5 linked regions of the Macaca fascicularis genome follow. The protein of the gene in region 5 purifies or fractionates together with the protein of the main gene of each other region. This does not show direct contact. Links are inferred from orthologs where the notes say so. Each region holds a gene or a part of one and is shown on either strand. Other genes may lie near its edges. The genes, in order: SMAD1, HDAC4, SMAD3, UBTF and RUNX2.

Region 1 (3,511 bases), on a different chromosome or scaffold from region 5:
AGCCATGTGATTCTAATGTACAGCCTTAGTACCCCAATAACTATTAACAGCCAATCCATTAACGAAATTGGTCCCAATCTGACGATGAGACATGTAAGTGCTTGACTATCTAATCACTTTCCAATGATCCAACTGTCTAGAATGTAGATTCTAACTTGAGGGCAAAACCATACAAATTTTAAAATATATCCTTTACTGTACCTTTCCAAAAGACTATACATGTTAAAAACTAGGTATATTTATAAAGTAATAGTATCAAATAATTCCATAGAAGAACATAATTCTTTCATATTCACCACAGGAAACATGCCACAGCAAAAGTCACAGAGACGATAAAAAGTGCTGTTCTTCAGTTCAAAATGGTTTAAGTCACTGGCAACTATCCTCATGATATACTTCCTTCAAGCATATAGACAGCAATACTGTATTTCTTTCCTAATTTTCTTCCCTTAGAATACAATTCATAGATAATTTTATCTAGAGAAATGCAGAGAACCATATGAGACATAAAAAATAAATTTAGAAAGAAAATTTATTAAAAATTAGAGGTATTAGTACTGCAATGACAATTGTCATAGCCTGCTCCCAAGACATAATGTTAACTAGAGATGATTAAGCTGTTAAAATGTATGAAACACTCAAGGGCCTTCTCTCTTACATACACACAGACACACACATACAGTTTCCCTGAATATTTTTAAATTACAACTAAAAACAAGGACAGGGATTCTTTTGATGTTCTAAACAACACAAATCCAGTACCGGGCACACAAACTGTATCAACATAAAATAACTCACTTACCAGGGCTTTCTACTCGCTTATAGTGGTAGGGATTGATGCAGACCTCCTTCTGCTTGGAACCAAAAGGAAACTCACAGCATTCCAGTGGTTTTAGTTCATGGTGGCTCTGAAGATCGGGCCAGCGCCATACACGGCAGTAAATGACATGAGGCAGTCCCTTCCGGTGGGAGACTTGCAGCCTGCCATCCAAAGAGCGGGGAATGGTGACACAGTTACTTGGTTGCCCTGGGCAGCTCAAAGCCTTCTCCAGTTCCTCCATGGCACCTTTCTTTTTCTTCAGTTTTTTCACCAAAGCATCAACAGCTTTCTCTGCCCATTTTTCTTCTTCATCGCCCTGTTTCCACCCAAGAAGTCTTTTCACAGCTGGACTTGTAAAGGAAAATAAACTTGTCACATTCATAATGACAGCACTAGTTATATAGTCCTTGGATACGGTGAAATAAAGGCGTCTTCAAACGCAAAAGGACAGCAGAAGAGATCTGTTTATTTACAGAGAAGTCTCTTTAATTTCTTAGTTTGAAGTCCAGAAAAGTAGAAATTACCATTCCTAGTGTTTAAGAAAGTAACCCAGTCAGCACCTACAAAAGAAAAAAAAAAAAAGGTTAGAATCATCTCTACCATACAACCAAATTTATTAAGTAATCACCATGTGCTAGGTACTATTTTAAATGCTTTTATGTAACACGGTATGCTGTGCACCGAACTGTGACCCCTTAAATTCATATGCGGAAGCCCTAACTCTCAGTATGACTATATTTAGAGATGGAGCCTCTAAGAAAGTAATTAAAGTTAAATAAGGTCATCAGGGTGGGGCCCTAATCTGATAGGATTGGTGGTCTTAAGATTGCTATCTCCCTCCTCCAGCCTCTATGCCCACACACTGAGGGCACTGCAAGAAGGCAATCATCTGCAAGCCAGGAAGAGAGCCCTCACAAGAGCCTGGATTGTCCAGAACCTTGATCTTGGACTTTCCAGACTCCAGAATGAAGATAAAATCTATTTCTGTTATTTAAGCCACCCAGTCTATGATATTTTATTATGGCAACCAAAGCAGACTGATACATAGCATTTAATGCTTTTCACAATCCTTTGAGCTAGGTAATACAGTTGCTGCCACTTTTCAGATGAGTAAACTGAGAAGCAGTTTAAAAAGTAAGCCACTGCTAACAAAAGCTCTGGGATAAAAGCAACAAAGTTAAAAAGTCCAAGTTCTCCAAAGACATTGTAATATTTTAGATTTAGATTCACTTATAACCTCTAAAAATATATTTCAAAACACCTCAATCAACAAAAACTGAAAGCAACAGGGAGTAAAAAAAAAAAAATTAGTCTAGTATCTCTGTTTTTTGGTTTGTTCTACAAATATTTCTTATGCTAAAAGAAAATTCCTATTATATAAATGTAGTAATATTTTAGGGTATTTCTTCAGTGAACAAACCTGTGTCTATGGGTTACAGCGCAAATAGGACAGGAAATACATCTCCTGCTTTAAAAATTTTGCTATTTATTGACATAAAAGGAATAAAGCACATGGACACATACTGTACCAAATTCTTCAGCCAAGTTGCTTCATTTAAACTTTCTATTTACCCTTCAGCACATGAAAACATAAAATGTGAAAAAGGTTAAGGAGGCTAACTTTGTACAAACCCTGGCTAAACTGGAGTAGCACATATCAGACCAACCTCCTTCCAAACAAACAAGCCAGAAAACAAACAAAAGCCCAGCTTTTTAAAGGCATCAAAGAGGAACCAAGGCACGCAGGACTTGAGGGGGCCAAGATCCTGGAGAGAGGGGAAATGCAATGAAGTGAGCTGAATATTTGTCACCACTCTTCCTTTCCAGGGATTTGCCAATAGTTATGCTATGAGTAGCAAAAGGTCTAGGAGCCAAGCAGAAAGAGGTAACTAAGAGGCTTACAAACTAAGCAGAGCTTCTAGTAGCCTCATAGTGCTGAAGAACCCCAAAATAACAACACAACAACAAATGGAGTTGAGGGCCTGCTGAGGAGAAACCCTGGTAAATAGTCTAGGCTTTCAATGGAGTCTCCTGGAGGAATATGCCCCAGTCTAAGGGCAAAAATGAAATGGAGCAGTCTTTACAACCAACCTAGAGTCATCTTAATCCTAGCCTTGGTCTAGGTGATGTGTACTGCTCTCTAACAGCTTGCCAGAAGAAAAACAATTTCGCTATAGAGGAAGACATCAACCTTAGTCACTACAATTTTAAATTCACAGTGTATGGCAATGAACCAAAAGTTATCAAGCATACCAAAAACAGGACCAAATGACCAAAACAAAACAGAATAGAAACAGACCTAAGGGGTGACCCAGGTAATGGAGTTACCAGAAACAGACTTTAAAGTATTAATGATTACTACTTTGTATGTCAAGGAAAGAGAAGACAAGGTTGAAGATTTTAACAGAGAACTAGAATCCATAAAGAAGAATGAAATAAAAATTCTAGAACTGAAAAATATAGTAACTAATGAGACTTTAAATAGGATGAACTTAACAACAGGCTAGATACAGTAGAATAAAAGATTAGTGAGCAGGAAGATTGGTAAAAAATGCTCATACTAATGCAAAGAGAGGGAAAAAAATGAAAAATAAAGAACTGAGGAGACATAATGGATCTAGTGAAAGGTCTAGCACCACGTAAGTAGAGTCTTAAAGGAAAAGAAGAAAGACTGTAACAGAGCAATATTTT
Region 2 (4,222 bases), on a different chromosome or scaffold from region 5:
CTTCTGAGCTATGAAAGCCCAGCCGTTTTCAATAGAGAACGGTATGGACGAATTCTACAGGAGTGATGAAATGCTTCTTCTGCTCCGGCAATTAAGACAGCATAAAGTCGCCTTTCCTTTGGTGCCACCCCCAACATCAAAGGATTGGAATTCAAAGCCATTCATGCTGCATTGAAACCTCACAATGAAGCTGGAGAATGGAAGTCGATTACTGGGCATAAATATGCAGTAGTTAAAAGGAAAGAGTTATAACGAAATTAAATGCAGCAACCCCACAATGTGTGGAAACTTCCAGCACTAGAGCCCTCCTGGTAAACATCCATAGAGCATCCTTCCCAACCAGGTCTCTGGCCACAGAGAGTCCAGATGGGCTGCCTGAGCCGCACGTGGCCAGTGTGCCAGGTTGTTCTGCCCATCTTGCTACAGCAACAGCCCCCAAGGCCTCCGAGAACATGGCATTTGCGGATTTTTATTTTGCATGGCTAGGAAGCTGCTGAACACAGAACATTGTCCCTGGTTCAGGACTCCGAGGCCACATCTGCCCTTCGTCCCCAGGCCTTCCAGGCCTATGTGCAGTCCAGTCATCTTCCCTCTGCCCCGCCCCTTAGCCCAGGGCTCCCCGGGGGGCATGCCTGCTGCCAGCTCCCCTTGCAGAAGAAAGAACCCTAAAGAGGGCAGCGTTGCCTCTGCCTGCTGAGTACAGCCGGCTTCTTTTCTAATTGATTACTGCTCTCTTTAGGATGGGATTTGATCTCTAAAATAAAAGCCCAGAACACAGAAAGCTATAGAAGTCTTACAATGTGTTGGGGTGTGTGTTTTTAAGGCATGAAAATACTTCCCTCCCACACAAATGTGAGTTCTTCTGGGGAAAGATGCCACAGATCCCAGAGAGTAGAATATCTGGGAAGGCTCGATCAGTCTTAAAAATAGGTAATTGAACACAGATTTTAGAATTCACAGGAGCTACCTGAAAAAAAATTAAATTTCACATATTTTTGATATCCAAAACTCCATTCTGATGAAACTTCTAACTGGGTGGCATTCTGCATTTCCAATTATAATAGAGTAATTGTGTTGCCATAGTTACTGCAAAATTCTGCAATAACTTTTGTTGCTTTGTAACTGCTGTAGTGTATATTTGTGTACAAGCAGCTGAGTTTTCTTAATTCGATCTCCCTCCCTTCCACCCTCCCTTTCCCCAGTCACCACCACCACCTTTCCTGGCTGGGTCCTGAAACCACCACACCAGCCTTCTTTGGACAGTCCCGAAAATAATGCACAGAATTATCAGAAGCAATTAAAACTCCAGGCAACCACGATCATATTACAAAAGAAAAAGTGAAACCAGGTCAAGGTGCAAACCTGCCAGTATCCCCCCAGTCCTGCTGGGCTGGCGCTGGGCCAGGGCTGTTTACAGGTTTACTCCCAGGCCTTAACTGCTTCGGTGATTTGTGGGAATAAACAGAAAAGCCTGAATAGAGAAAAACGGGGCGGCAAAGTGACTACACAGGCCCTTTCCTCCCTCACGGAGAGCAAGCAGAACTGCTCTCAGCAAGCAATTAGGTAGGTCTCTACAGTCATGCAATTAGGATTTAGTTAAGAAAGTCATTAGTTTTAAAATAACTTAAGTTTAATTTCTGCAACGCTTTATTTGAAAATTGTGTCACAGCAGGTCAATTTACAACATGCAATAAAGAAAACACTCATATCAGCTGCCTCAAGTTATTACAAATTTTTGATGTGCATTAAATGAGTACACTGGGTTCCACCCCCGGCCTTTCCAACTGATACGCACGGTCTCCTGCTATAACAGTGTCAAATAATTCAACGCTCAATGTAAATACGAGATAATTTGCTTATGATTCCGTGGTGTGTTTTCGCAACGCGGGGAAACGCGGATCCCACCCCCGAGCTGGACCGGGCCCCGTCTCGGCCTGCGGGCGCCCTGCGGGCTGAGCCGAGGGGGTCCCGGGCAGCACCCCCGCCTCCCGCGAACCCCCAGGCGCTCGCAGCGGCGACGACACGCGAGGGGCCGCGGACCCCGGCAGGGACGTTTTTCTGCAAACTCACAGCATTTGACAAAGTTACATAAACGGCGCCCGCCCGGCCCCGGCGCCCGCCCGCCCCCGCCCTCACTCCCGGCGGCCCGGAGCCCACCTGCTCGGGGGGCGCGGGCCCGGCACCGGGCGACGGCGCCGCTGCCTGCCGTGCCCACCCCCGCGCCCCCGCCCCGGCGGGCGAGGCCGCCTCGCGGCGCGGCTGGAAAGGTCCAGAAGGGGCCGGGCGGCCCTGGGGACCGGCGGGTCCCACGGCGCGCGGCCCGCGCTGGCCCCCGCCTCCCACGGCCGCGCGCGGGGCGGGTGTGGACCGGCGGCGTCCACCTGCCGCGGGCTCCGAGGCCTGCAGGCTGCGCGGGGCGCGGGGCGGACGGCGGACAATGGCCCGCGGGCGCCGGGCCGGGGCTGCGCTTACCGCGGCGGGCGGCGGCGGCCGGCTCTAGCCCTGCTCGGGCGCTCCGCGCCGCATCTCCTCAGCCTGCGCCGCCACCCGCCGGCGCGCGGGCTCGGGCTCGGGCGGCGACAGCCGGGACGCGGCCGCGGCGCCGCCGGGGGCCCAGGCTGGGAGGCTGCTCGGGCGGCGGCGGCGGCGGCGGCGCGGGCGGGCGCGCGGGTTCGGGCTCGGGCTCGGGCGGCGGCGGGGACGGTGCTCCGCGGCGGCGGCCCCACAACCTCCCCTCCTCATTCACAAAAAATTGACCCACGTTGAACCATGATGCTTCTCCCCCCTCCAGCGTCGAGCCGGGCGGCGATAGGCCACCCTGCACGCCCGTCAGCCGACCCGGCCCCGCCCCGCCCGCCGGCGGCTCGGCAACCACTGGCTGCGGCAGCCTTGCGTCACCTCCCCATATGGGCCCCGCCCTCCCGCCTGGTTTCTAATGAAGAGCTCGTCAATTACGGCTCGGCCCCGCCTCCCGCCCGCCCGCCCCGGGCGCCTGGCCGGCCTTCCATTGGTCCGTTGAAACCTGCGCACGGCCCGTCTGCTCCCACCCCTCGCCCCGCGGCTGCCCAACCGCGGGGCCGGACGCCCCGTGAGCGGCGGAGAGGCTCCACCCCTGCCCGCCTCCCCGCACGCATCCTGGACCTCATTGGCTGCTGGAGCTGTCAATTCTAGGGGGCGGGGCGTACCAAAAGACGCTCCAGGCGCCAGCCTCTGGGTGCTTCGCGGTTGAGGAGGCGCAGAGACCCGGAGCCAGTAGTGACCGTAAACACGGGCCCCGGCCGTGTCTAGTCCCACTCGGTAGCCCGCATGGCTACCTAGCGGTCAGCACCGCGTGTTTGCGAGCCTAATTCGCGCTTAGAGGGCACACAATGGGGTGCAGGCTGAGGCGGGGAGCTGGCCAGGCCTCGCCGTTGCCTCCATCTTGGGTACTGGCAGTGGGTCACGTGGTGCTGCGTGCGCACCGAGGCGCAGGGCGGCCCGGTCACCGAGTGCGCAGGCGCCGCGGGCCTCGCCCAGCCCCGCGGCGGGAACGCGGCTGTCTGGGTGTGCATGGGGTGCAGGTCTGCCAGGCCTGCAACTGCTGCTGAGGGTCGTGGGATGCGCTCGTCGGGTCCCTGCTCAGGCGGAGGGAGCCCGGCCCGCCGCCAGGGTCTCGAGTCACGGGCCAGGCAGGCGTGGAGGTGGTGGGAACTCCGCACCGGCCGGGCGGGTGTTGTTTTAAGGCCGCAGAGCTTGGGGGGCTTGTGTTGAGTTAAAGGTCGGCCCGTAGATCCCCGCAAGCGCCTTTGGTTGCCAGCTGGTGTGGGCGGGAGTCTTCAGTGGCCACCCTCCTGCTGGTGATGTTTCCATTTCTTTCCAACAAGAGTGTGACAACTTTTAAACTTGGGTGCACACACTGTCCCCGGAATCCCGCGTTCCAGGGAGGAAGCGCCTTTGACAGCGCGCGCCGGTGCGTGGGGCCTGACGGCGTGGGCCCAGGGATGCGGACCTGGCGGGGATGAGCGTTCGCTTCGATTGTGGGCCATTCCTCTTAGATGAGCAAGGATCCGTTTTTACAGCATTCTCGACCTTTGATTCTTGGCGGGGGGGGGAAACTGTAGTTGTGTGGATAAAAATACAGTTAGCAAAATAAAAATGCCAATTTTGCATTTCTTTAAATATCTCAATAACGAATAATTAGAAAACTCTGGTCATTGTGAGAAGTGCTTACTCTGATATGGCT
Region 3 (4,062 bases), on a different chromosome or scaffold from region 5:
AAAGATTAAAGAAGCAACCGCACATACAAACATCCACAGGGCCCTCCCCAAGCTAACACAGTTTTAGCATTCAGCAAAGAATGTATTCAGGATCTTCAAAGTATAAAGCAGCATGGGTCAGCAGAAAGAGCACATTCTGTCAGAATCCCACGTCTACAACTCAAGCCTTTTCACCTCTCTCTTTTAAAGTTTCCTCTGCTTTAAAAACGTGATAATGTTAAGCCTAACAACCTTATCTACTTTCCAGGGCTGGTTGCTTGCTTGCTTGCTTTCTATCTTGTTTTGAGGACCTCAGAAAACCATGTGAAAGTGCTTTGTAAACCGTGAAACACTTTTCACAGCTGCCTGTTTTATAATTGATACCATTTTTTTTCCTGTTTCAATGCATAAAGCACTTGTCTTCAATGCACCCAGGCAGATAAGAGGAAGGTAGGTTTGACAGACCCCTCCCCAGACAGAGAAGTAGCATATTCACCCACTCTACCCTCTCCACCCCCACCGAAGGAATACAGAAGAATTAAGAACCAGAGCTGGAACCAAATCCCAGGTCTCTCTGACCATCACATCACACCACCTCCTCTGAAGTCAATTCTGGCTCCCGATCACACGGCCAGGGACTTCCCCAGACAGCACACCGCCTTCCCTCCCCCTTTATTGACTGGATCCACCCAGTCAAAAAAAAAAAAAAAATTTAAGTCTGCACTCCCACCATATGTGGCATTTATTTCCAGGGGAGGCCTGCCCTGGGTTCCCGTGGACAGATGTTGCTTTGTGCCTGCCTGACTCGCCTGGCAGCCCTTGTACAACTGCCCCAAGCAGGTGGCCAAGGATGGAGTCCACCCTGGCCCAGGGGCAGGGATGACAATCCCTTTTTTGGCTTACAGTCCCTGGTGCTTTCTACTCATTCCTCTGCAGCCTGGGACCCCCAAAACAGCCAGCCCCCAACACACACACTCTCTCCCTCGGTTCAGAATCAAAGGAGGCTGAGAGGTAGAGACAGGAAGTCAAGGTATCCCCACCCCCAATTCCCAGCCAGGCACAGCTAAGCTAAGGAAGGCCCTGGGGGAGTGGAGAGAAGTCACTGACCCTTTCTATCAGCCATCTGTGGGCTCCCGCCCGACCTAGCTAGCGCGCAACAGGAAGGATAAAGGAGATGCAGACAGATGGCAGCGCGCTTTGGGAAGGAGGGCTCTACAGGAATGCGAGGGCCGATGCGAGGCCCACTTTGGGGTGTGTTTTGTTATCTGCCCGGTTCCAGCCCGCCCCTCTCCCTCATTCTGCACGGACTCAAAATCTCTTGGACCAAAAGGAGGGCAAAAGAGTCGGGATGGGGAGTGGGAGGTGGGGGAGAAGACCCTATTTTCTGCCACTTGTCTCTCCCATTTGGAAGTCAGAGCATTGCACTGCAACCAAAGTGCGTGCGTGCTCAGGGGGCGGGAGACTGGCACAACCGAGTCTAAAAATACTCGATAAAAATGCTAATCCCGAAGGCAAAGAAAGAACGAAGAAGGAATCTGTCAATCACGAGGCTCCCGCTCCTCACCCACAGCCCCAGCTGTACGGACCGCATTCCTGTAGAGGAAAGTGGGGAGACCGGACTGAAGAAAAGAAACGCAAAGACACCACCACCTCCACCAGCGCGGGCCGCGGGGGCGGGAGGCGGCGGCGGCGGAGGAGGGGCTCCGGCCCGCGGAGCCGAACAAAGCGGGCCTCAACTTCCAGCCCCAGCTCCCCAGGGTGGGGGCGGCCGAGTCCCGCAACAACCCGCTCTCCCCTCCCGGAGGTGGAAAGGGAATGTGAGGTCTGGAAGCCAGAGTGCCGTGTGGAAGCCTCGGGCTCTGATCTTTGCAAATGCAGAGATGGTTTTGTTTGGGGTCCCCCCACCCCCTTCCTGCCCGCGCTCTAGCTCCCACTCTCACACACACGCACCCACACAGTCTCACTCCCTCTCTCTCCCTCTTCCCATCTTCAACCCCAATGGGTCGGCCCCGCAGTGCCAGGGGGCCGGGTCGGCGTGTCCCCGGGTCCCCCGGGCGGGCCCCCACCTGGGGATGGTGATGCACTTGGTGTTGGCGTTCTGCGTGGTGATGGCCTTCTCCAGCTCGTCCAGCTGCCCCGTCTTCTTGAGTTTCTTGACCAGGCTCTTGACCGCCTTCTCGCACCATTTCTCCTCCTGCCCGTTCTGCTCACCCTTCTTCCAGCCCAGCAGGCGCTTCACGATCGGGGGAGTGAAAGGCAGGATGGACGACATGGCTGGGGAGGGCGCGCGGGCGGCGAGGAGCGCCCCCGGCGGGGCTGGGCTCGACGGAACGCCGGGGGCGCAGAGGGGAGCTCGGCCGGGGCCTGCCGCGGTCGCCCAAACTTCGCCTCAACTCTCGGCGAAGTTGCTGGGGCGCCGGGCCGGGCCGCGGCGCTGCAGCCTGCGGGGCTCGGCGCGCGGCCCTGCGCCCGGAGCGGCTCCCACGGCGAAGAGAAGGGCGGCCGGGCGGGCGGACGGCAGCGGTGCCGGGTTGGGAAGGCCCCGAACGCGGGGCGGAGGCGGCGGCCGCGAGACTCCAAGTGGCAGCAGAAGTTTGGGTTTCCGCACGGGGTAGCTGTTTGGGTGCCGCCTCCGGGAAGGAAAGTCCAACCCCCGGCCAAACTTCGCTCGCCTTGCTAGCTTTGATGCGCAGATCCCTCCGCCTCTGCTGCCTCGCCGCCTCGCCACCCTCCTCCTCCCGGCTCGCCGCTAGCTCGCTCGCTGGCTGGGCCGGCCCGGGGCGTGCGCCGCGCTCCCGCTCCCGCCCGCTCCCAGTCTGTGTTTCATGCAAATCCGCGTGCAGCCTCCTTTCCAAGCGCTGTCACCGCCCCCTCGCCGCCGGGGCTCTCCGCCTCCTCCCCTGCGCCCCGCCACCTCCTCCCGCGGGCGCCCTGCCCGCCCCCTGCTCCGGGGAGGGCGGCCGGCCGGCTGGCCGGCCGGCCACCACCCCGTGCCCAGCACGCCCACGTGGGCAACGCGGGCGGCGGCAGTCCTGGCTGGAGCGCGCGGGACCCCGCGCGGCCCCGACCTGAAGTCGGGCGGGCGCGGGGAGGAAGTCCTGGGAAACGCGCGGCGAGAGGGGCCTCGGGCGGGAGGGCTGAGCGCGGCCCGAGGCGTCCGCTCTCGGAGTCCACACTTGTGCGGCTCGGTTGGAGTTGCGGGCCGGAGAGGGTTGGACTCGCAGCAAGTAAGCGCCGTCCGGACGGGAGTGAACCCTGGAGAGGACCCGAGCCCGAGAGGGGGCGCGCGGAAGGCCCGGGCCCAGGAAGTTGGGGCCCGCACTTGGCCTCGCGCTGGCTGATCCCCGTCAAGGCTCTTGGCCGGCGCCCGCGCCCGCGCCCGCGCCCCTGGGCTGTTTTTATTCTCTCGTTGGTGAGATCACACCGGCCGAGAGCCTTGGGAAAGTGTGCGGAGGAGGGTGTGGGGGGGGGAGAAGTGGGTCCTCAGAAATGGAGAGCTGGGGACACCAGTGACAACCTGGACAATGGCTGGAGCCAGGGATCCTTTGAGCCTTCTGAACTGAGTGCCCGGCAGAAAATGAGCCTCAAGGACATCTGTTGAGTTCTTGAAGGAATGAATGGAGGTGCTTTCGAATTTATCTTTGGAAGAAATTTACATAACACGGTGTTGCTGGATCTCCTGATAGAGAAAGATCGGAAATTTGATAATTCCCAGTAAATGGAAGAGTTTTGTTTCCAGAGCAATGAACTCACAAAAAAGTGGGGCAAGACGAGTATTCGGAGAGTTTGTGTATTCAAAAAAAGCAAAACAACAACAAACCAACTGGCACATTGGGGAGCTCCGGGGCTTTTCACCCCACCAAAAGAATTCAGGGGCGTCTGGCCGCAGGGCCCTCGGCGGCTTTAAGGAGCTACTCCAGGCCCCTTGGCCTTTCTCTTGCTGCTGCCTCCCGCAGTTGACTAGCCGGTGTCTAAGCCCTTTGTTTGTTTTTAACAGCAGGAATCCCCCACCCCCCACCCCCGCTTTGTTTAAAAAAAAAAAAAAAAAGTTATCTGCAAACCCTCAAGTGGGTGGGGAGTTAC
Region 4 (4,115 bases), on a different chromosome or scaffold from region 5:
CCCCCGGGGACCGGATCCGGATTCCCGCCGCTCCCCCCTCCCGGGCTCCCTTCGCCGTCCCCGCCCGCACAGGCGGGCGAGCAGCCGGAGAGAAGCGGCCTAGCCTGCCCCCCGCCCCCGAGCCACCCACCCCGGCCAGAGGCGCCGCCACCACCCAGCCACCCCGACGCGCACGGAGGAGCCCGGCACAGAGGCGCGACCGCGGCGGGAACCGCCGCCTCCTCCCCCGAGCCTGCGGCCCAGCCCCGCCGGCGCCCCCGCCCCGGCCTCCGGGGAGCCGAGCCAAGGAGAGGGCGGGAGGACGGCGGCCGGGAGGCGGGGGCGCAGCGCTCACCGGCCCCGCCGCCCCCTCCGGCGGCCGGGGAGAACTGCGCCTGCCGGATCCGAGAAGCGCGGGCTCCTCCGCCAGCGGCCGTGGCTCGGCTCAGGCCTCGCTTCCTGCCTTCCCCTCCCCCGGCTCTCGGCGTCCTCCCAAGTGCCCTGGTCTGCTCGCGCCCGGTCCCCTGCTCGGTGGTCGCTCCGGGTCCCTGCTGGGCGCCCACCGCAACCCGCGGTTCGCTCCCTGCTGTCCGGCCCCGAACCCAGCGCGCGTCCTCAGCCGCCTCGGTTACCCGGCGCAGCGCGGCCTCCGGGCTTCCCGCTCCGGCGGCTCCCTCCCCGGCTCTGAGTGGCGGCGCCCTCCCCCGCTCGGCCGGGCACAGCCGCAGCTCCCTCCCGCGGCGGCAGCGGCTCCTCCTCCGGGCGAGGCGGCGGCGCTGGGGCGGCGGCTGCTGCTGCTGTGGCGGCGGCGGCGGCGGCTGTGGCTGCTGCCTGCTGCTCCTCGCGGCGAAAAGCACAAAGCACAGCGCCCTCCGCCTGCAGGCAGCCCGCCCGCCGCCGGCCCCGGCCTCAGCTCGCACACCCCCCGCCGCCGCCGCAGCCTCAGCCGCCGGAGCGGGGAGGAGGAGGGAGAAGGGAGGAGGAGGAGCGGGAGGGGGGGCGGGAGAAGCGGGGCAGCGAGCGCGTCCTTCCCCGTAGAGCGCACACCGACCCCCGGGGAGCGAGCGCCAGCCCGCCCGCCTCGCCGGCTCCGCTCCCTCCCACAGCCTGCCCGGGCGGGCTCCGCGGGGGGCAGCTGGGAGGAGGGGCGGGAGCTGGGGGGACCCGGGCGGCCGAGGCGGAGGGAAGGAAGGAGGGGAGGGGGGTGGTGGTGGTGCTGGTGGCGGCGGCGGCTGCTGCTGCTGCTGCTGCCGCCGCCGCCGCCGCCGCCGGGGAAGGGGGGGGCCGGGGCAGGGAGACACGCAGCCGCCCGGATGGCGGCGGGGCTCGGAGCCGGGGCGGGCGGGCGGGCGGGCGCCGAGAGCGACCTCGCCAGACCCGCGGGGGAACTAGCAGGCTTTGCCGGCGCGGGAGGGAGGGCCGAGGCGCGGCCGCGGAGAGGGTGCCCGGAGGGGCCCCCGGCGGCCAGGAAGGCTTGGGGGGCGCCCACAGCCCTGCTCCGGAGCTCTCCCCCAAGTCCTCCCAGCTCAGACTGGGGCTTCCAGGCCAGCTCTCTCCCGCCTCCCGGAGCGAGCGGTCCGCGCCCACCCTCATCCCCCGGAGCGTGGCCACTGGTTTGGGGCGCACGCACGCCGATCGCGGCGTCCAGCTTCGGCGCCTACCTCGCGATCCTCTCATTGCCGAACGGTACATAGGAAACTTTAAAAAAACCCAAAACCGAAAATCTCTGCATTAAAAAAAAATCCCCGTTGCTCTTTACACCCCGGAAACGGCGAGGGAACGACGGGCTCCGGCGGAGGGGCCGCTGTGGGAGCCGGTTCAATCCAGCCCGGCATGGCTCCCAGGCCTGCCCGGGCGCATGGAGATCGGTGCCGCCGCCACTCGTAGCAACCCCTCTCCCCCGAAATCCGCGGCGCCCGGGCTCACTTACCGAGCGTGTGGATGGGAGCGCAGGCCGGGGGCACCTGGGAGCACGGCGGGCGGAACAGCCGAGCCGCAGCTCCGCTGCAGCCGACGCCGGGGCAGCGAGTCGCCAGACAAAGCCCGAGATGGCGAAGCGGAGCGACGGCTAATGGCGAGCCCCACGCGCCGCGCTCCGCCCGCCCCGCTCCGCCCGCCCGCCCGCCCGCCTCGGCGCAGCGCAGCGCCGCTCCGAGCGCTTGCCCGTCAGAGCCGCCTCGGCGCCGCCGCCTCCCGGGCCACCCCGGCCTCGCCTGGCCCCTCCGCCTCCTCCGGGCGGCTCAGCCTCACCCCTTCCCTCCCACTGCTTTAGGGGTTGCACAAAAAAAAAATTTTTTTTTAAGTAAAATGGTTTTCTTCCTTTTTTTTCTTTTTTCCTTTTTTGCAGGGCGGGCGTGTTGAGACTTTTGGATCTTTCTGCCCGCAGCTCGCACTCACCTGCGGAGCCGCCGGGAGGGCTAGGGGTGGGGGCGCGCGGGGCTGGAGCCGGCGAGCGCGGGTTGAAAGCCAGCCAAGCTCTGCAGCGCCCGACCCGGGCGTGTACGCCGCCGCCAGTCCCCGCAGAGAAATCGTCCTCCTACCCCCGCCTCCATCGCTCTGCGTTTCTCTTCCAATCAGCCGGTCGCTTGGTGGCTCCTCCATTCTCCGGCCAAGCCCAGCTGCCTAGAGCGAGCTCCACTCCTCCATCTGTTCGCCGGGGTCCTCGCTCCCCTGCCGGGGCTGGCGAGGCGGCGTGAGGCCGGAGGGGGATTTGCAAGGAAACCTGCCTGCTTCCCGCTCCCATTGCTCCATCCCCGCTGCCTCCTGCCTCCTGCTTCTCTCCTGCGTCTTTCCAACTCTCCCCTGTCGCCACTGGTGTGTGTCTGAGTGTGTGCGCGGTTTTTTTTTTTTTTATTGCTCTTTGCTTTTGCAACCCTGAAGCAAAAGGGAGGGGGGGTAGTTACAGGGGAAAAAAAAAAAAAGCGAGAAAGAAGCTCTTAGATTTGCAACACATCGGAAAACCGAGGGAGCACCCCGCCTTATCCGATCTCCATGCTCCGCGAGGGCCTTCCGGGTTTTAAAAGGACGAGCTTATCAATGTCCCCCTCTTCGCTGGGTTTAGGATCCGAGGAGTCCGAGCAAAAAGTTCTCCCCCTGGGTCGTAGTGAGGGGTGTCAGGGTGGGAGTTGCGGGGATTTTTCAAGAAGAAGCGGCTATCCTTCCTACCCCGGCGTCGGTCACTGGGCGGGGGTAGGGGAAAGAGCAAAATCCCAGTGGGTTTGCGCGAGGGATCTTCTGGGGTCGAGGCGGCGGGGGGAGTCGGAACCGGGAGACACCACTTGGCGCATCTCCCCCTCGGTCTATACCTCCTGTCTTTTGCCAGCTCCCCCTTTAATTTTTTTTCTCTCCTTTAATCTAATTTCTTCCAACTCCACCTTTGTTGTTACCGGCGTCACGCCCGGACCAGCCAATCCCCGCCACGCAATCAGCTTGTCAAAAAGCCTCGGCCGGCCCTGGGAAAGCAGGCCGCAGGCGCTGCCCCCCGGCGGCGGCGGGCAGCCGCGAGGGGAGCCCAGCACCCGGTTCTCGCTGCTCCGGGCGGCAGCGGAGCAGCCTCCGACGAGACGTCTCCCGGTTCACTAAACTGCAGGCCGGGGATGAAAGGCCTGGACGGGGTCCACCACCCACCCTCCCACTACCATGGCTGTGGTTGTCTGTCTTTGCCTCCCCTTTTCAGAGGAAAGGTTATCAGGACAGGACGCAGGGAGCCAGAAGACCATCTGAAGGAAGCCTGCTTCCAGCAGGCCCAGCCTCCAGCCACCGCTTCTGGGGCAGCGCCATTGCTCCTGGCTCTCAGGCTGCCAGTCTCCCACACCGAGGCTCTACTTCCCGCATCTCGGCCAGCTGGATCACCCAGCCCCTTTCGACTCTCCCCTGGCATGCAGCCTTCTCCTCCACTCGGCCTGCCTCTTTGCTGCTGTAATTCCTCTTGTCTCCTGGGAGAAATGAGATTGTTTTCCCAGGACTTCCAGATCCCACTTCTGTCACGTTTCACAAACAGGGAGGAAGCCCTGTCAAGATCTGGTGTGTCCTGTTTTTGTTTGTTTGTTTGTTTGTTTTTGGGGGCACTGGCATATAGGAGAGGCGGATTTACCACTCGTAGATTAATTTCAGCTTCTAGGCCCCTAACTTTGAGG
Region 5 (3,511 bases):
AGATTTTTCTTCTTCTTTTTCCCAGACCCCAGGCAGGCACAGTCTTCCCCGCCGTGGTCCTATGACCAGTCTTACCCCTCCTACCTGAGCCAGATGACGTCCCCGTCCATCCACTCTACCACCCCGCTGTCTTCCACACGGGGCACTGGGCTTCCTGCCATCACCGATGTGCCTAGGCGCATTTCAGGTAAAGACCGCGCTTTAACTAAAAATCCATCCCCGCATAGGGGTCGGGGGGAGTGGGATGGGCTGAACCTGTGTCATCCATGCTCACAGTGACTCTCTATTAGAGACATGTGGGCAAGGGAATGACAACTGGCAAATTAAATCTTCTGAATTATGGGGTTATCAAACACTCGAACATTTTAAGTCAAGAGACCAAAAATCTGCCAGAGATGGCATACTTTTAAGATGGTATTTAATGCCGCCCAGTTAGTGTCCTGCTGAATTGTATCCCATTTGGTGGGCACTGTCTCATAACTAGGGCCTTTTCCTGAGGGTCTTATGCCAGGCCTTCCTCTGCTTGTGTTCCTTTCTTTTCCTAACATCTGCCTATAAACCAGATTGATGGCACAGCCCTCCATTCCTAAAGGCTTGTAAGTCCCAGGAGTCCAAGCTAGTCAGTTCCAAGAGAGAGCACCTGCAAACTTAGGATCTTTGTCAGAAACTAGTCATTTGAAGTGCCGTGAGGCCTGGAAGAGTCTTAAAAGGCAATGCGTGGCCTCTGAGTGGCTAACTCAAGAAGGACGCAGCCTTTCTGTGAAGCATCATGCGTGCTGCTGTCACTTGCAGCCCGGCAGCCCAGTGCTCACAATTGTTCCAAAGGCACTACAGAAATGTGTGGCCCATGGGGGAGTGTGTGTGACAAATGACCTGGCTGCCCCTCTATCCTGGAGAATTCATCACAGAGAGCCAGAAAGTGTTCACGAAGACTCCCAACTGACAAGTAGAGAAAAGTTAAAGGCCCTTAGCTGACTGTATGAGTCCCGTGAATAAGAAAAGAAACCTCTTGGTCCACCCTGACATATGAGCTGCAAACATTGTCCCCACTCAATGACGTACATCCACAGAGAGGCACACACCCCATTGGATCCCACGTTTGCCAGATACTCTTCTCAGCGTTCGGGCCCCTGCACCTGTTTGACTCCTGGCCAGGTTAATGCCTTTCTTTCTTTCTCTTTGTGTTTCTGTCTGTTTCTCTCCCTCTCTCATTTTCTGCAAAGCTCGAAGCCGTTACTCACTCCGCTGAGTTGCATCACTGACAAGCTGAAGCTCCACCAGCAGGCTTGCGGGTTTTGATTAGTTCAGACTCCTTTATTTCTTTCAACTTGGGAGGAGGGAAGGCTTTGTTTCTCAAGCAAATAGCAGGAAAGGGCTCTCTGGTCCTAGTGCCTCACATTTTCTGCAGCAGATGGACTCCCATGGGGGTGAGTAGGGAAAGAAGAGGGGTGGAGGGAGAACTGCAAGGTGTTTTGGGAAACCATGTTACCACTTTTCATTGTGACTGCTGTTATCATTTTTACGAATCACACAGTATGTATTGGGTAATTGTATAGAGTGTAGAATTTTAGTTATCATTTCCCTTGCCTGGAATCACCGTCGCCTTTAGGCAAACATTAATTAAAGATAACGGGAAAGGATGAGTAAGGCACAGTGGGGATAACGAAGGCTGATGCGAGATTAAAGGCACAGTGTTGATGGTGTTAAGTTAGTTCTGGTTATTCCTTCTACATTTCATACTGAGAGTCTGTTTTGTTTTACATAGGGCCAAAAGGACACTTTGACAGAATAGACTTATGCAAACTTGCTTCTGTTTGGGGTCTCCTGGGGCTTCCATCTGCCCAACCCACCGTGGCTGAAGCAGATTTTGCTATTTTTTTCTCTAGCAGTACCTAGAGGGAAAAAACCTCAGGGAGTAGTGTTAGCATTAGAGACACTTACCTACAGCAGTTTCCTACTGAGGTATATTCCTGTGAGTTCATCAGGAAAGCCATTGAAAATGACATCGGAAAAATGCTGCATAAACGAGTAGTCATCATTGTTTATCATGTACATGTGTAATGGAAAACAGCCAGATTATTTCAAGTTACTTTACTGAGGGTTACTTCAAACATTTCCACAAAACAGTAGCTTTCCCATTTCACAGAGAAGGAGGCAGGAGCAGAAACTGGTTAATTTTCCAGCCATATATCTATCTTAGGCCAAAGGTAGGAGTGAGCCTCTGGTTTAAACTGGTTTATACTGAGTTTAGTCCAGTTTTTTCCTCCAACCCTTAACATTTCTGGAGTTGTTACTGGTAAAGTAACATGGTGCCAGGGTGGGAGGTTCTGTATAAACAGTAAAGAGAACAGAAAATCCTTCTTGTCAGCATGTAGGTAGGGAAACAGGAAGAAACAACTAGATGTGGACTGTCAGGGAGCTGGAGGAGCACTGACTTACCTGACCTTGCCCTGGGCTGCGGGACTGTGCCTGCACAACCAAGCACTGCCTGGCGGACTCAGGGACCATGTCATTGGAGTGTGCACCATTTCTAATTCCCTGGGAACTAGTCCTGGGCGCCTTCTTGGGGAAGCCTGTCTCATAGGGTCCCAGGTACCAACTTAGACAATGTATAGCTTATGATTCCTCTCAACATCTAAAGCCAGTGTCTAAGTCCATGACCTAGAGGCTCCTACATGTGAGACTTAAGCATGAGGGCTTTTTAAATTTGGAGTTTTTTTTTGTATGTGTGTGCTTTAGTAAATAAAGCCCTTTGGATTGAGTCCATTCTTGTGCCTTTAGTCTTCATAATGCTCTGTGCCAAATAATGCTGTTTCCACGTAACACGGACAGCTAAAAATATTAACCTCTATCCCTGTCTGCAGGCAGTCCCGTGGTCTCTTTTTGAGACGCTTTGCAGAACAGTTTATGTTTTTGTGTGCATTGATCAATTTTCATCTCCATATCTAAAGGGATACACAAAATATTCTCATATGATTTTGGATGAGAAAGAATAAAATTCTTCACTTCACAGTAGGATTGGATGTTCGGACCCAGGTTTGAATCCCAGCTCATACATATATCAGGCAACTTCTTACTTTTCTGAAACTTAGTTTTATTTTTTGTAAAATAGGCATACAATACTCATCTTCAGGGTCGGTGTGAAGATGAAGTGAGATACTTTATATAAAGTGTTTAGAACTGGCCTGGCACATGATATGTGCCAAATAGATTGTAGCTGATATTATGAAGCTAAAATTGTTTTGTAAAAATTGTATATCCATATGTAATTTGCAGGCAAGTCTTGTTAAGTGAGTCAAATTAGATTAGATAAAAATCTAAACTTTTAAAGGGAACTTTTCCTTCACAAAATGGATCACCACAGAACGTATTTAAAACAAAGCCCTTAGATTATCTAAACATTTAAATAAGTTAATACTCACATGGCATTCACAAAGCACTTAATGCAGTACCTAGCACATAGAACTACTCAGATGTTTCCCATTATTATTATTATTCTGTAGATTTAAAA

Evidence for each region.
Region 1: the proteins of RUNX2 (region 5) and SMAD1 purify together in Homo sapiens (affinity purification with western blotting; 3 studies listed by BioGRID). This does not show direct contact. The link is inferred for Macaca fascicularis from reciprocal best matches to the Homo sapiens genes RUNX2 and SMAD1.
Region 2: the proteins of RUNX2 (region 5) and HDAC4 purify together in Homo sapiens (affinity purification with western blotting; 3 studies listed by BioGRID). This does not show direct contact. The link is inferred for Macaca fascicularis from reciprocal best matches to the Homo sapiens genes RUNX2 and HDAC4.
Region 3: the proteins of RUNX2 (region 5) and SMAD3 purify together in Homo sapiens (affinity purification with western blotting; 3 studies listed by BioGRID). This does not show direct contact. The link is inferred for Macaca fascicularis from reciprocal best matches to the Homo sapiens genes RUNX2 and SMAD3.
Region 4: the proteins of RUNX2 (region 5) and UBTF purify together in Homo sapiens (co-immunoprecipitation; 3 studies listed by BioGRID and IntAct, with this or other methods). This does not show direct contact. The link is inferred for Macaca fascicularis from reciprocal best matches to the Homo sapiens genes RUNX2 and UBTF.

The regions. Positions count from the first base shown.
Region 1 is NC_088379.1:150,399,770-150,403,280, reverse strand, and holds part of SMAD1 (mothers against decapentaplegic homolog 1), read right to left. Parts: intron 1,381-3,511; 5' UTR 1,203-1,380; coding exon 803-1,202; intron 1-802. UniProt on the Homo sapiens protein: Transcriptional modulator that plays a role in various cellular processes, including embryonic development, cell differentiation, and tissue homeostasis.
Region 2 is NC_088386.1:135,306,143-135,310,364, forward strand, and holds the start of HDAC4 (histone deacetylase 4), read right to left. Parts: upstream 2,805-4,222; 5' UTR 2,762-2,804; exon of another isoform or gene 2,158-2,761; intron 1-2,157. UniProt on the Homo sapiens protein: Responsible for the deacetylation of lysine residues on the N-terminal part of the core histones (H2A, H2B, H3 and H4).
Region 3 is NC_088381.1:43,772,317-43,776,378, reverse strand, and holds the start of SMAD3 (mothers against decapentaplegic homolog 3), read right to left. Parts: upstream 2,805-4,062; 5' UTR 2,252-2,804; coding exon 2,046-2,251; intron 1-2,045. UniProt on the Homo sapiens protein: Receptor-regulated SMAD (R-SMAD) that is an intracellular signal transducer and transcriptional modulator activated by TGF-beta (transforming growth factor) and activin type 1 receptor kinases.
Region 4 is NC_088390.1:65,276,759-65,280,873, forward strand, and holds the start of UBTF (nucleolar transcription factor 1), read right to left. Parts: upstream 2,804-4,115; 5' UTR 2,377-2,803; intron 2,025-2,376; exon of another isoform or gene 1,910-2,024; intron 1,089-1,909; exon of another isoform or gene 1,031-1,088; intron 666-1,030; exon of another isoform or gene 335-665; intron 272-334; exon of another isoform or gene 131-271; intron 1-130. UniProt on the Homo sapiens protein: Recognizes the ribosomal RNA gene promoter and activates transcription mediated by RNA polymerase I (Pol I) through cooperative interactions with the transcription factor SL1/TIF-IB complex.
Region 5 is NC_088378.1:126,039,070-126,042,580, reverse strand, and holds part of RUNX2 (runt-related transcription factor 2), read left to right. Parts: intron 1-25; coding exon 26-187; intron 188-1,223; coding exon of another isoform or gene 1,224-1,249; exon of another isoform or gene 1,250-2,764; intron 2,765-3,511. UniProt on the Homo sapiens protein: Transcription factor involved in osteoblastic differentiation and skeletal morphogenesis. Essential for the maturation of osteoblasts and both intramembranous and endochondral ossification.